Linked DNA regions of Caenorhabditis elegans. The protein of the gene in region 1 purifies or fractionates together with the protein of each later gene. This does not show direct contact. Each region holds a gene or a part of one and is shown in the gene's direction. Other genes may lie near its edges.

The links.
Region 2: the proteins of ccf-1 (region 1) and ccr-4 purify together in Caenorhabditis elegans (affinity purification with western blotting, with the first as the bait; one study listed by BioGRID). This does not show direct contact.

What each region holds. Positions count from the first base shown.
Region 1 is NC_003281.10:11,918,393-11,924,356, reverse strand, and holds ccf-1 (CCR4-NOT transcription complex subunit 7), read left to right. Parts: upstream 1-4,119; 5' UTR 4,120-4,136; coding exon 4,137-4,265; intron 4,266-4,312; coding exon 4,313-4,597; intron 4,598-4,649; coding exon 4,650-5,168; 3' UTR 5,169-5,529; downstream 5,530-5,964. Other genes in the region: nft-1 (Nitrilase homolog), read right to left, coding at 420-467; Y56A3A.22 (DUF1279 domain-containing protein), read right to left, coding at 670-835, 1,471-1,631, 2,196-2,660; trap-4 (Translocon-associated protein subunit delta), read right to left, coding at 2,951-3,055, 3,108-3,436, 3,571-3,616; znf-593 (Zinc finger protein 593 homolog), read left to right, coding at 5,644-5,769. UniProt on the Caenorhabditis elegans protein: Catalytic component of the CCR4-NOT complex which is one of the major cellular mRNA deadenylases and is linked to various cellular processes including bulk mRNA degradation, miRNA-mediated repression, translational repression during translational initiation and general transcription regulation.
Region 2 is NC_003282.8:12,362,850-12,368,094, forward strand, and holds the start of ccr-4 (poly(A)-specific ribonuclease), read left to right. Parts: upstream 1-2,424; 5' UTR 2,425-2,695; coding exon 2,696-3,491; intron 3,492-5,245.

The sequences.
Region 1 (5,964 bases):
TTCATTTTCGACAAATTGCCGGTTTGTCGATTTGCCGGAAATGTTCAAAAGCGGCAACTTGCCAATTTGCCGGAATTTTTTAGTTCCGGCAATTTGTGAATTTGCCAGAAATTTTCATTGCCGCCAAATTGCCGGTTTGCTGATTTGCCAGAAATTTTAATTTCCAGCAATTTGCCAATTTGCCGGAAATGTTCAAAAGCGGCAAATTACCTGCAGGTCTCACCACGAAAATTTTTGCTACATGTTTTTTTAATAATGCGCCTTTAAAGAGTGGTACTGTAGCTTCAAACTTTCGGAATTTTTTAAATCGATTTTTCATAGTTTTTTTCAAAACAACTCGATTAAAAAAAAAATTTTTTTTCTAATTTGTCGTGTCGAGACCCAGAAATTTCTGGAAAAAAAACCCCCGAAAATCTTACAAAATGCCGTCCAGTCGCCATTGTTCGCCGAAAAACTGTGCTCAGCATGCGGCTGTATAACAAGGAAATCAATTGAAAATTAATTTTCTAGTGTTTTTTGGCAATAATAATTAGGGAAAATGACCAGATTTATGAATAAAAAGTTAAAGCCAAATTTTTCGGGGGGAAAAATCAATTTATACACACTCGGAAGCACCCTAACAGAAGAAAAAACAGTCTAAAAAACACTGAAAAATAATATCTAATTAGATTAATCATCCTTCTTTTTATTATTATTATTATCATGGAGTTTCGTCGTCGTCGGCTCATTGAGCTTCTCATGCTCCTTCTGTAATCGTTGAACTTGTCCAATATGAGCAGTTGTCGCGTGAACACTGTTCTTACGGCTCACACTTCGAACTCCAAGGTGGCGATAGCTGGAAAATATGGAAAATTTTGGGGGTTTTTCAGTGAAAAATAGCCCGAAAAATTGGATTTTTAGCCAAAATCTTCAATTTCTGTCACTTTTTCCTTGAATTTTACTGATTTTTGTGCCAATTTCGATCAAAATAGAGCCTATATAGGCTTAAAAACGCGTAAAAACTACCAAAATCGAGCTTTAAAGCAGCGCCGCACAGAAAAAGATGCGGAGCGTATTTTTGCAACCCTGCGGCACGATTTTTTCCTCCTTTTTGAAAAATTGATCTTTTCCAATAAAATTTCGATTTCACTAGTTTTATTCACTTTTTTCGAAAAATGTGAATAAAACTAGTAAAATCGAAATTTTATTGAAAAAAAAAACCTTTTTTTAAAAATGAGGAAAAAACCGTGCCGCAGGGTTGCGAAATTACGCTCCGCCTCTTTTTCTGTGCGATGCTGCTTTAGGGCTCGATTTTGGTCATTTTTACGCGTTTTTAGGATTATTAAGGCTCTATTTCGACCAAAATTGGCATAAAATCGGTGAAATTCGACATGGAAATTTTGCCAAAATTGGGAATTTTAGAAGAATTTAGCCACAAAAATGTGTTTTTTTTGTCAAAAAATGGATTTTTCCCCTAAAAAAAATGCTCACCGATACCAGCGTCGTCCGTAATGTGCCTTATTCAGCTCATATTCACTTCGGACCTTGTACTCGACTTCTCGAGCGGTCTTCAGTTTTCCCAATCTTCGGAGAGTCCAGAAAGTGGCTTGAATGAGCAAAAGTGTCGTCATGTAGCGGAATGGCATTGCGATCTGAAAATTTAAATTTTTATTATTACACATACGCGAAAAAATACATTTTTTTGGAAAAAAAAATTATTTTTCTGGTTAAATTCTGCTAAAATTCGTAATTTTTTGGCAACATTTCCACGTCTTTTGTAGTATTACATATACAAAAATACTGTAATTGGTCTCGACACGATAACATTTTTTCTTCAATGTAAAAAAGATGTGCGCCTTTAAAGATTACTGTAGTTTTACTTGTTGTAATTTTCTTTGTTCTTCGTGAGAAATATTAAAAAATCGATGAAACTCCACAAAGTTTGAAACTACAGTACTCTTTAAAGGCGCACACCTTTTTAACATTGAAGAATTTCGCGTCTGTGTAATAACCAGGGCTTCCCTTTTTGTTCCTTTTTTCTTTAAAAAATTAGTTTTTTCAATAAAATTGATTTCTTTACAAAACATGGTTTTTGTCTAAAAAATCGTGCTTTTTATACAAAAAAATTGGGTTTCTTCCGAGAAAATCTGTGTTTTTTCCAAACAAATTGTTATTTAATTAAAGTTTTCGAAAAAACATCTGAAAATCCTCCGAACCTTGTACAAAATCAGCGAAACCACCACAACTCCGGCGGTTTCGGGCGTATTTTTGACCTTTTCAACGATAGCATCCGGCATATGAAGCCATTCGAGCAATGAAATCACATCAACTCCACTTTTAACCACCAAATACAATGCGATAAACCATGCTGTACACGATGCCGCGTGAGCCGGCACAGCGATATACCAATATCTTTTAAAATAATATTTCACTTTTGCGAACAACGTTTTCGGCGCTTCTTCCGCCTTCATTTGCTCGATTTTCGCCGTTTTTGCGAGTTTTTGCTCCTCAGACATTGTCATTCTGAACATTTTCCATTTTTGATCGTCTGGCTTCTTCGGAGTGGGCTCTTTCTCGTGGAGTTGTCGACTTGTGTGCAGGAATCGTGAGCTTGATGGGGTCTGGAATTGAGCACAACAGATGCTCCGCGAGCATCGGATTATGGATCGAGCCAAAAGCATTTTGCCTGAATGAAAATTTTGGCCTAAAGGGGGTCTTAAAATTATCTAAAGTAAGTTTCCCGGGGATTTACACTCTCAACTCTTTAAACTTTTTTTTACGTCAGTCTAGCAATTAAATTTCAATTTATGGCTATTTGGGGGCTACTGAACTTATAAATACACGAATGGGGTGGAAAAAGGGGCAAAAATCAATAAATTACATTTTGTATATATAAATAAAAACAAAAAGAACAAAAACCCAGCACGCAAACGTGCGTTGACCAGTAATTTGGGGATAAAAACAATGATATTTAGTGGACAAGTTCGGTCTTTTGACGAATGGCGTAGTAAAGGCCAATGACGACGATGATGACGGCGACAGTCTCGGAAGAGATTGGAGACTTCGTGGCGAGACCCTGCAAAAAATGATTTTTAAAGATAATTATGTGAAAATGATGCAATTCTCACCCCATGGCTTTGTTGAACGGTGAAGAGTGGCTTGGTGACAGGGTTCTTGGCGTATTGAGCGGCTCCCTCCTCGTCGAAAATGTTAATATTAAAGGTTTGAGCTCCGGCGTCCTTGTGCTCAAGAGTCCATGAGACTTGGAACTTGGCGGTCTCGTCGGAAATCGAGACTGGGATAAGGCGACCGTTTACTTCAGCAGTGTATTGGATATTCTTCGGGTTGTTGCTGCATTGAAGTGTGAACTCGGTGATGAAGGTGGTTTTGTAGTGGAAGAATCCGTCGGTAGTGGAGAATGACGAGGCCGAGTACTTTGGCGACTCGCACTTGGCGCCTGGAATATTTATTGTTTTATTTGTATTAAATGTTAACAATCTACGCTTAAAATTCGAAAAATCGAGCCTTATTTTTATACAAGCCACACATTTGAATAATTTGTGTGGGAATTTATTAATTTTTCCAACTTACAAAGAGCGGAAGCGACAAGGCAAAGGGCGACGGCGATCTTCAGCATTATTACCTGCAAAAAAGTAATTAAATTCGTGTTTTGAAGAATTATCTTGTAAAATGAGTAAAATAGGCATTCTATACGTATTTTACTCGAATTTGCATCATTTTAACGCACAAAATTCATGTTTTTAGGGTAAAAATCAAGAAAATAAGTGAAAAATTCATTAAAAACACATTTTAATTCACTAAAACGATGTTTTCTCGACAGTTTCACGTAAAACAAACTCACTTGGCAGCTAGCCAGTTTGCAGTTCTCTCCCGTTCGCTGCGAGACCCACACCGCTGGGAAACTCCATGCGCCTTTAATGCCGATCCAAAATCGATCGTTCAAGAACTTCTTTTGCGCTTCAAAACTTTTGCAAACTGACTTTTTCTCCCGTTTTTCTGCTTTAAAAGTTTGCGGAAAAATTATTTTATTTATTTTATAAGCTATTTTCGATTTCTGTCCCATAAATTCGTTTAAAAAAATCGAAAATAAAAGCGTTCACTCTAAAACGAAAATTCTAGTTCCAGATATCATAAAAATGGCTTCTAGTAGCAGTGGTGGAGCAGGTGGAGCAGGTGGAGCAAGTGGAGCACCAGAAGTCAAGATTCACAACGTATATATGTCAAACGTGGAGGAGGAATTCGCGAGGATTCGAGGATTCGTCGAGGTACAGCCGATCGTTTGAATATTTTTAAAAAATCGGTTTTTTTTCAGGATTATCCCTACGTGGCAATGGACACAGAATTTCCCGGAGTTGTGGCGACACCGTTGGGCACATTTCGAAGCAAGGAAGATTTCAATTATCAGCAAGTGTTCTGTAATGTGAATATGCTGAAATTAATACAAGTGGGCTTTGCAATGGTCAATGACAAAGGAGAGCTACCACCGACTGGCGATGTTTGGCAGTTCAATTTCAATTTCTCCTTCGCTGAAGACATGTTCTCGCATGAGAGTGTCGAAATGCTCCGGCAAGCCGGAATAGACTTCACATTGCTGCAGGTTTTTTTAATATTGATTTTCCAATATTTTAATAATAATTTCTTTCTTCCAGAACAATGGAATACCGACAGCAGTATTCGGAGAACTTTTGACGACGTCAGGCCTCATCACTGATCCACGGATCACATGGCTCACGTTCTCTTCCGGCTACGACTTTGGATATTTGTTGAAAAGCATCACACTTGGAGATCTGCCTAAGGAAGAGTCAACGTTCTTCATGTGCCACAAAACTCTCTTCCCAACCAGCTTCGACATCAAAATCCTGCTCCGAACTCCAAATTGCGCGTCTGCAAAGCTGAAAGGAGGACTTCAAGAGGTCGCCGATCAGCTGGACGTGAAACGACAAGGAGTTCGCCATCAAGCTGGATCCGACGCACTGCTGACCGCCGCCACGTTTTTCAAGATCAAAAAGCAGTTTTTCGGAGACAACTGGAACCAGATTGCTCCATTGATCTGTGGACATATGTTTGGTCTTGGATCTTCGCTTTCGCTGTTCCATAGCTCCGGATCAACTTCTCGACTAGGCGATGAGACACCACAAGGCCTAATCGGAGTTCCACAACAAGCCTGAACAGATCTCTTTCCCGTCATTTTTCATGTGTCTATTTCTTTTATTTTTTTCTTCCTTTTTCCACCAAAAACCGTCTACACTGTTATTGTAAATTAGCTGTCTGTTTCGTGCCCTTCCCCATCTCTCACCCAAGTTTTTTGTGTTTTCACGCGCCCTATAATTTGTCTTTGTTATTATATCTCCCTATACTTGATGACTATACGCTTAGTTGTTTATAGGTGATCATTACTCTGAAAGTTCGATCTTTTTTATTTGTAATTTTCAGCAGCAGTAGAAGCTGGGCGAGATCGGGCGCCCCGTGTATCTTTTTATTTTCATTTTCCCTCCCCTATGCCCAAAAAAATAAAAATTTTCGAAATCTACTCGCGGAAACTTTAAATTTTCAACTAAAATAAGGGTTTTTGAGCCTGAAATTATCTTTTTCAGCTGTTTTGTCTAGATTCAAAGCTTAACAAAAGTAGTATTTCAGCAAAAAATGCCGAGCGGTGGACAGAGGAAGCACACGATTTCGAACAAGACACGTAAACGTCCCGGAAAGGATTTGGATCAAATCCATGAGGATTTGAAGCCTGAAAAGGCCGCCAAGCTTCTCCAGCAAGAGGTTTTTCAGATTTATTACTCGAAATAAACCCTTAGAATTCGCAACACTGCCGCACGGTTGTATTTTAACTGCTTTTCTACAATTTCGCGTTAATTTTATCAGGAAATCTGGCAAATAATCAAATTTTGCTGGAAAAAATGCTAAAAACTCGTAAAATAAAACTGTGCGGTGAAGTTGCAAAACTGCGTGCCGCGG
Region 2 (5,245 bases), on another chromosome or scaffold:
TTAATTCGATTAAGCACATTTAAAGTCGATAGGCATTCAATTATCGATTTGAAATGTGCCAAAATCTACGAATTAACGCGATATACGCGACGAAAATATGCAATAAAAGGTTGTTTTGGGTCAGTTTTAGTATTTTTAATCTAAAAAAATTCATTGGAGAATGTTTTAAATAAAATATTTTAATTTCAGTGATGTAATGTCATCAGGAGATATGACATCGGAGTACAAGGACAAACAAGGCGGAGGAGCTGGCCAGCCACTCACAAAGTCTGAAAACAACGATGGAAAAAAGACGTTAACCAATGGAATGAGTCGAGTACATCGAGTGTTAACTGAAGACGAAATTGCCAGTGGGAGATCAACACGGTGGACAGAACTTGAAATACACGGTAATCATTTTTGAAAATTGTTTCAATTTTTATTCGAGATATTTCCAGGTCGTGTGAAGAATCTATCACCGTCACTGTGGCAGTTGACACATCTTTCAGCTCTTTTTCTTAACAACAATGGACTGACACGGTTACCACCGGAGATTGCTCAGGTATCCGATTAGTGTGGAAATTATCTCCGGCGGTGGCACTTATTTTCATCGATTCTACAAAATGATCTAAACTTTGATGCTCCAACATTTTTCATTCAAAATTAGTGTCAAAAGATAGAAAATCATTCAGTTTATCTGAAAATAATATTTATTTCACCTGAAACATTTATGAAAATGCTCAAGAATTACCTGAAAGTGGCAAATTACCGGAAAAAAATTCGATGAATCGATACGACCATTTTGATTAATTTCCTGAATGTTCCAGCAGAAATTTTTTTTTTCAGAAAAAAATTTTTTTTTTTAAATATTTTGACACTAATTTCAAATAAAAATTGTTGGAGAACATGGGGCAGTAGGACATTTTGTAGAATTGCAAAAAAAAAGATTACCAAAAAACAAATCAGCATAATAAATATTATATTCTTTTATTCTTCATCTAAAATCTTCTTGAAAAATCCAATTTCATACCAAAAACCCATTTTTCAGTTGACAAATCTGACAATGCTCGACATATCGAACAACAAGCTCCGCTCACTTCCCACAGAACTTGGTGATATGATCAGTCTTTGTCATCTGTACCTGAACAATAATCAACTCCGTGTGCTGCCCTATGAGCTGGGAAAGCTTTTCCGGATTCAGACGCTCGGTCTGCAAGGAAATCCTTTGTCGCCGGAAATCAGCAAGATCTATCACGAGACCAACGGTGCGCAAAAGATATTGCAATTTCTACTCGATCACCTGACTAGTAAGTTTACTTTTTTACTTTTTGCTGTCAAAAAATAAGCGTTCGGTCTAGTGTTTGGAGCATAAAAACAAGATGCATCGTTCATCAAAGATTCCCGACGTCGACCTAGAATATATGATTTGAATTGACGTGCTTTTCCCTCCTGAATGTCTGACACATCTCAACTTTCACTTGTATCCCCCGAATGACGTAATAGTAGATAATTCTGCATTTCTTATAGTTTATTCACAATTCCCTCACTTGATTAGACAGAGAGGATGTTCGTTATCACTATTATCCGTGTTAGTTTGATTTCCCATGCCACAAACTACTTTCTCTTTCGGGGCATGTTTCTTCTTTCAAGTTGTGAAAGTGGTCATGAAAAAAGCATTGCCATACCAATACTTGAAGGGTGTTCGTGTTCATAATCGTAATCGAATCAGTAGAAAAAGTAACAGTGTAAACCGAGAAAATGGTGTTGAAAAATAATGCAGACAAGTTTTTAACTGGTTTCGTATATTTAAAAAATAGGTTCACAATATCATATAGTACGAAAACCAGTAGGAAACAAAATTGTAATAGGCTCGTAATAATTTATTATGCAGTACTATATGATTTTTGTGACACTACCAACGAAATGGCTCATATTTCCAAGAGAAAAAAGTGTTACCTGAAAATTAGAAGAACGAAACTAATTTTCATTAAAATGAAATAACTTACTCTAATAGTAAGTAATTCATTTTTTCATTCCGAAGAACACTTATCTCTTAAAACCTCCACGCAAATCTCGACATATCATGTTTAATGTGCCGGTGTGTCCAGCCATTCATCCAGTGTACATGAAAACGTTCTAAAAAAGAAGCGGCACACGAGTGTGAGAGATAAACCATAGAGACGCAGCAATGGTGGCGCAGTGACCACCACCGCCATACGTATACACGGTTTTTAGTTCGACGCTCGTCTGCGACTCATCGTCTCTAGCACTATTTAGCTCTTCGCTTATGATCATCTGTTCTTCTTACGTCCCCCGAGTCCTCCTCATATTCGCCTCGTTTTTTTCTACACGGCTTCTTCTTTCTCTGCCGTTCGTCGTTGCGAGGAAGGATCGAACAGTCTCCGCCCATTTCGGAAAAGTGTCTTCCCTCGTTGTATACGCCCTCCCCTTCGTGTGTTTGTGTCTCTGCAGCAGCCGGCGGCAGAAGCACATTGCATGAGTTTTAAACGGGAACAAGGCTCCGCCCTGACTAGCTTCCCATTTTGAGAGTATTCCCCCATTCTGCCTTTCACCAACGTCCTTTTCTTTTTACATCATATATTCCACCTGCTTTCCCTTTTCTTACTCCATTTCTCTTTTTTCATCCTTTAAACGTGCACCAACTCTGGCCATCCAAACTTACTATTCGAAAATGTACTGAAGTTCCCTCTGAAATATGGCCGACAGTGGAGACGGCGAATCGCCATCGAGAAGAAACTCCAGTGGAAAAAGATTTGTGAGACGAGCCAGAAGATGGGCTGAGCTGCTACAAAAACGACAAGGACGTCGAAATTGTGAGGAGAGCGAAAATCTATCAGCTCCGATAGATGCAAATTTTCAACAAGCTCATAAACATACAGCATTCAATAATCCATCGTCGCATAATCGAAATGGAATCAAGGATCAGAAGTATAGACCACCAGAGCCACCGCATGTTTATGATTATGTTGAAATGGCTGCTTTAGGAAGTGGTGTGATGGTTGTAGATGATGATCTTAATTATGAATTTCTGACACATGATGAATCCCGTCAAAAACAACATTTGGGACACACTCGAAGCTTCCCAATTACTATACTTCAATCAAGAAAACATGAGATTTCATCTGGATTATCACCAGCTTACGGATACAATACTCATCAAACTTGCCAACGAACCATATCGGATGCATACCATTATCAGGCTTATCATCAACCATCATATTCCAATCACCACACTTCTTGGTACGAGTATCAACAACCGTCAAATGCATCATTTATGAAACCGGTAGACAGTGCTCTCACACTGATAACCAATGATCTCTCTATGGCAAGTATCTCGGAAGCATCTACAACATCGCCGAGTTCGATCTCGAATAATTCTGAAGAAGATGTTTCACCACACTTTTTGAAAATGTCTTCTTCATTTCCAAAATCTTCAAGCTTCCCCTATCGAACAATGTCTGAGTCCCAATGTTTTCCATTCAATTTTCATGGTAAGTACGTGTTCATTCCCAAAGTTCAATAGGATTCAGCTAGTGAAAGTTGTATTCACTTGAGACAAATTTTACTACTATCTCACCACAATATTCATAAAGCTTAATCTTCTCTTCCTTCTGTTTCTTTTCTCCGATAGTTTTTTTCCAGATTGCTATCGTAAACATGTTCTGTTTTCACTTATCTATAGACAGTTCACTTAGATTGGCGGTTTTTTAGCTTTGACAAGCGTGACTGAAATAAAATTGTTACGAGCAATTGTGATTATAAAATATTCAGGTTGAATCTTGAGTTTGTTGGATTCCTAATTAAATTGTAAAATTTTAATCTCGAAATTTCCATCTATTCGATCTCTCTCCATATGTCTTCTACCTGAATCTCAGCTTCAGCTTCATCTTTTTCGCCGTTATCTCTGCGCATCTTTGGCATTGAAAAGTACGATCGGTCGATGGTGATTACGCCATATTTTGACGTAAGAGTGAGAGAGAAAGAGAAGCGGACGACAAAGAAGATATGGGGCGAACGTGTACGTTTATTTGTAGCATAATGGCAGGAAAAGGATGGCAATGGCAACGGTGTGTGTGTGTATGAGTGTGGACATCACGGCTTGACGGTAGTGATGGTGTGTGTATGTCTTAAGCGTTAACAAGTTTTTGTCGCCATTTTCGGACGGTGTCACATCCTTCCACATCTTCAGTGTGAATATGGTTGGCAGTTTAGAGACATTGGAAAGTCGGATTGTTTTGGTATCACTGATTGCGCGAGGACTGGCAGGAAGTGATATTAGAATGGATAAGCATTGACCAGGTGATTTGTGAGACACTGGAAGCTGTTTTCTGAGATAATTAGGAAAAATCTGATAGAAATGTTTGCAATGTTTCTTGATTTTCTCCGAAACAATAATCTAATAAATCGCAGTTTTTCTAATTACGGAGCACAGACATGTTCGAAGCATCGAAACAATGCACAAAAACGTGTTATTTACAAATGATCCTTTCACTCTCTCTTGAAGTGTGTTCTTCTCCCCCTTCGGATCACCAGCTCACCACCATCTATCCCAACAGGCAAAGAGAACACACCGTGTTTTGACGACGGTGAGAAGAGTGTTTTGGGTTGCCCTCCGGTGCACGATATGTTTACACACGGTTTCGAGCCGTCCGAGTCGATGGATGGATGAGGCCACCGGGTGGTGACGGCGCGTAGAACAAATTGGTCGTTTGAACATGGCGCTTGTGTCTGGGAATTTTTGTATGGAAAGATCAAATATAGAGCCTCTAATTTTCCACTTTGCAAAAACCTGAATATGAACAAAAAGAAACTAGTGAGGGATTTCAAATTACTGTAAAAAGTCAACTCCTCTTTTGATTATCCATATCCTCAGTTCATTTTGGATTTCCGTCGGTTTAGAAAACTGAAAATGAGAATAGAAAAAGATGAATAGGGAGAGTGCACTTGACACATTTCAATATTGGCGGCCTCTTCATCTTCAGTCCCGTTGATCGAACAATAAATTAAAATGGCACAGATGGTTATGCTGGTAATAAGTGTTTGAAAGAATTGAATAAGGGAAATCAGATAAAGAAGTTTTGAGTTCATAGTTTAGAGAAGCATTATTCATCCAAGTTTCAAGTTTCATAGAACCAATAAAAAATCACAATATGGCCGATATAATACTAGTGACCGCCCTTTTCACTTCTCCCGTATGTATCTTCGATGAATCCGCTCAACTAGTCATATTGTTTTTTTTTTGTCG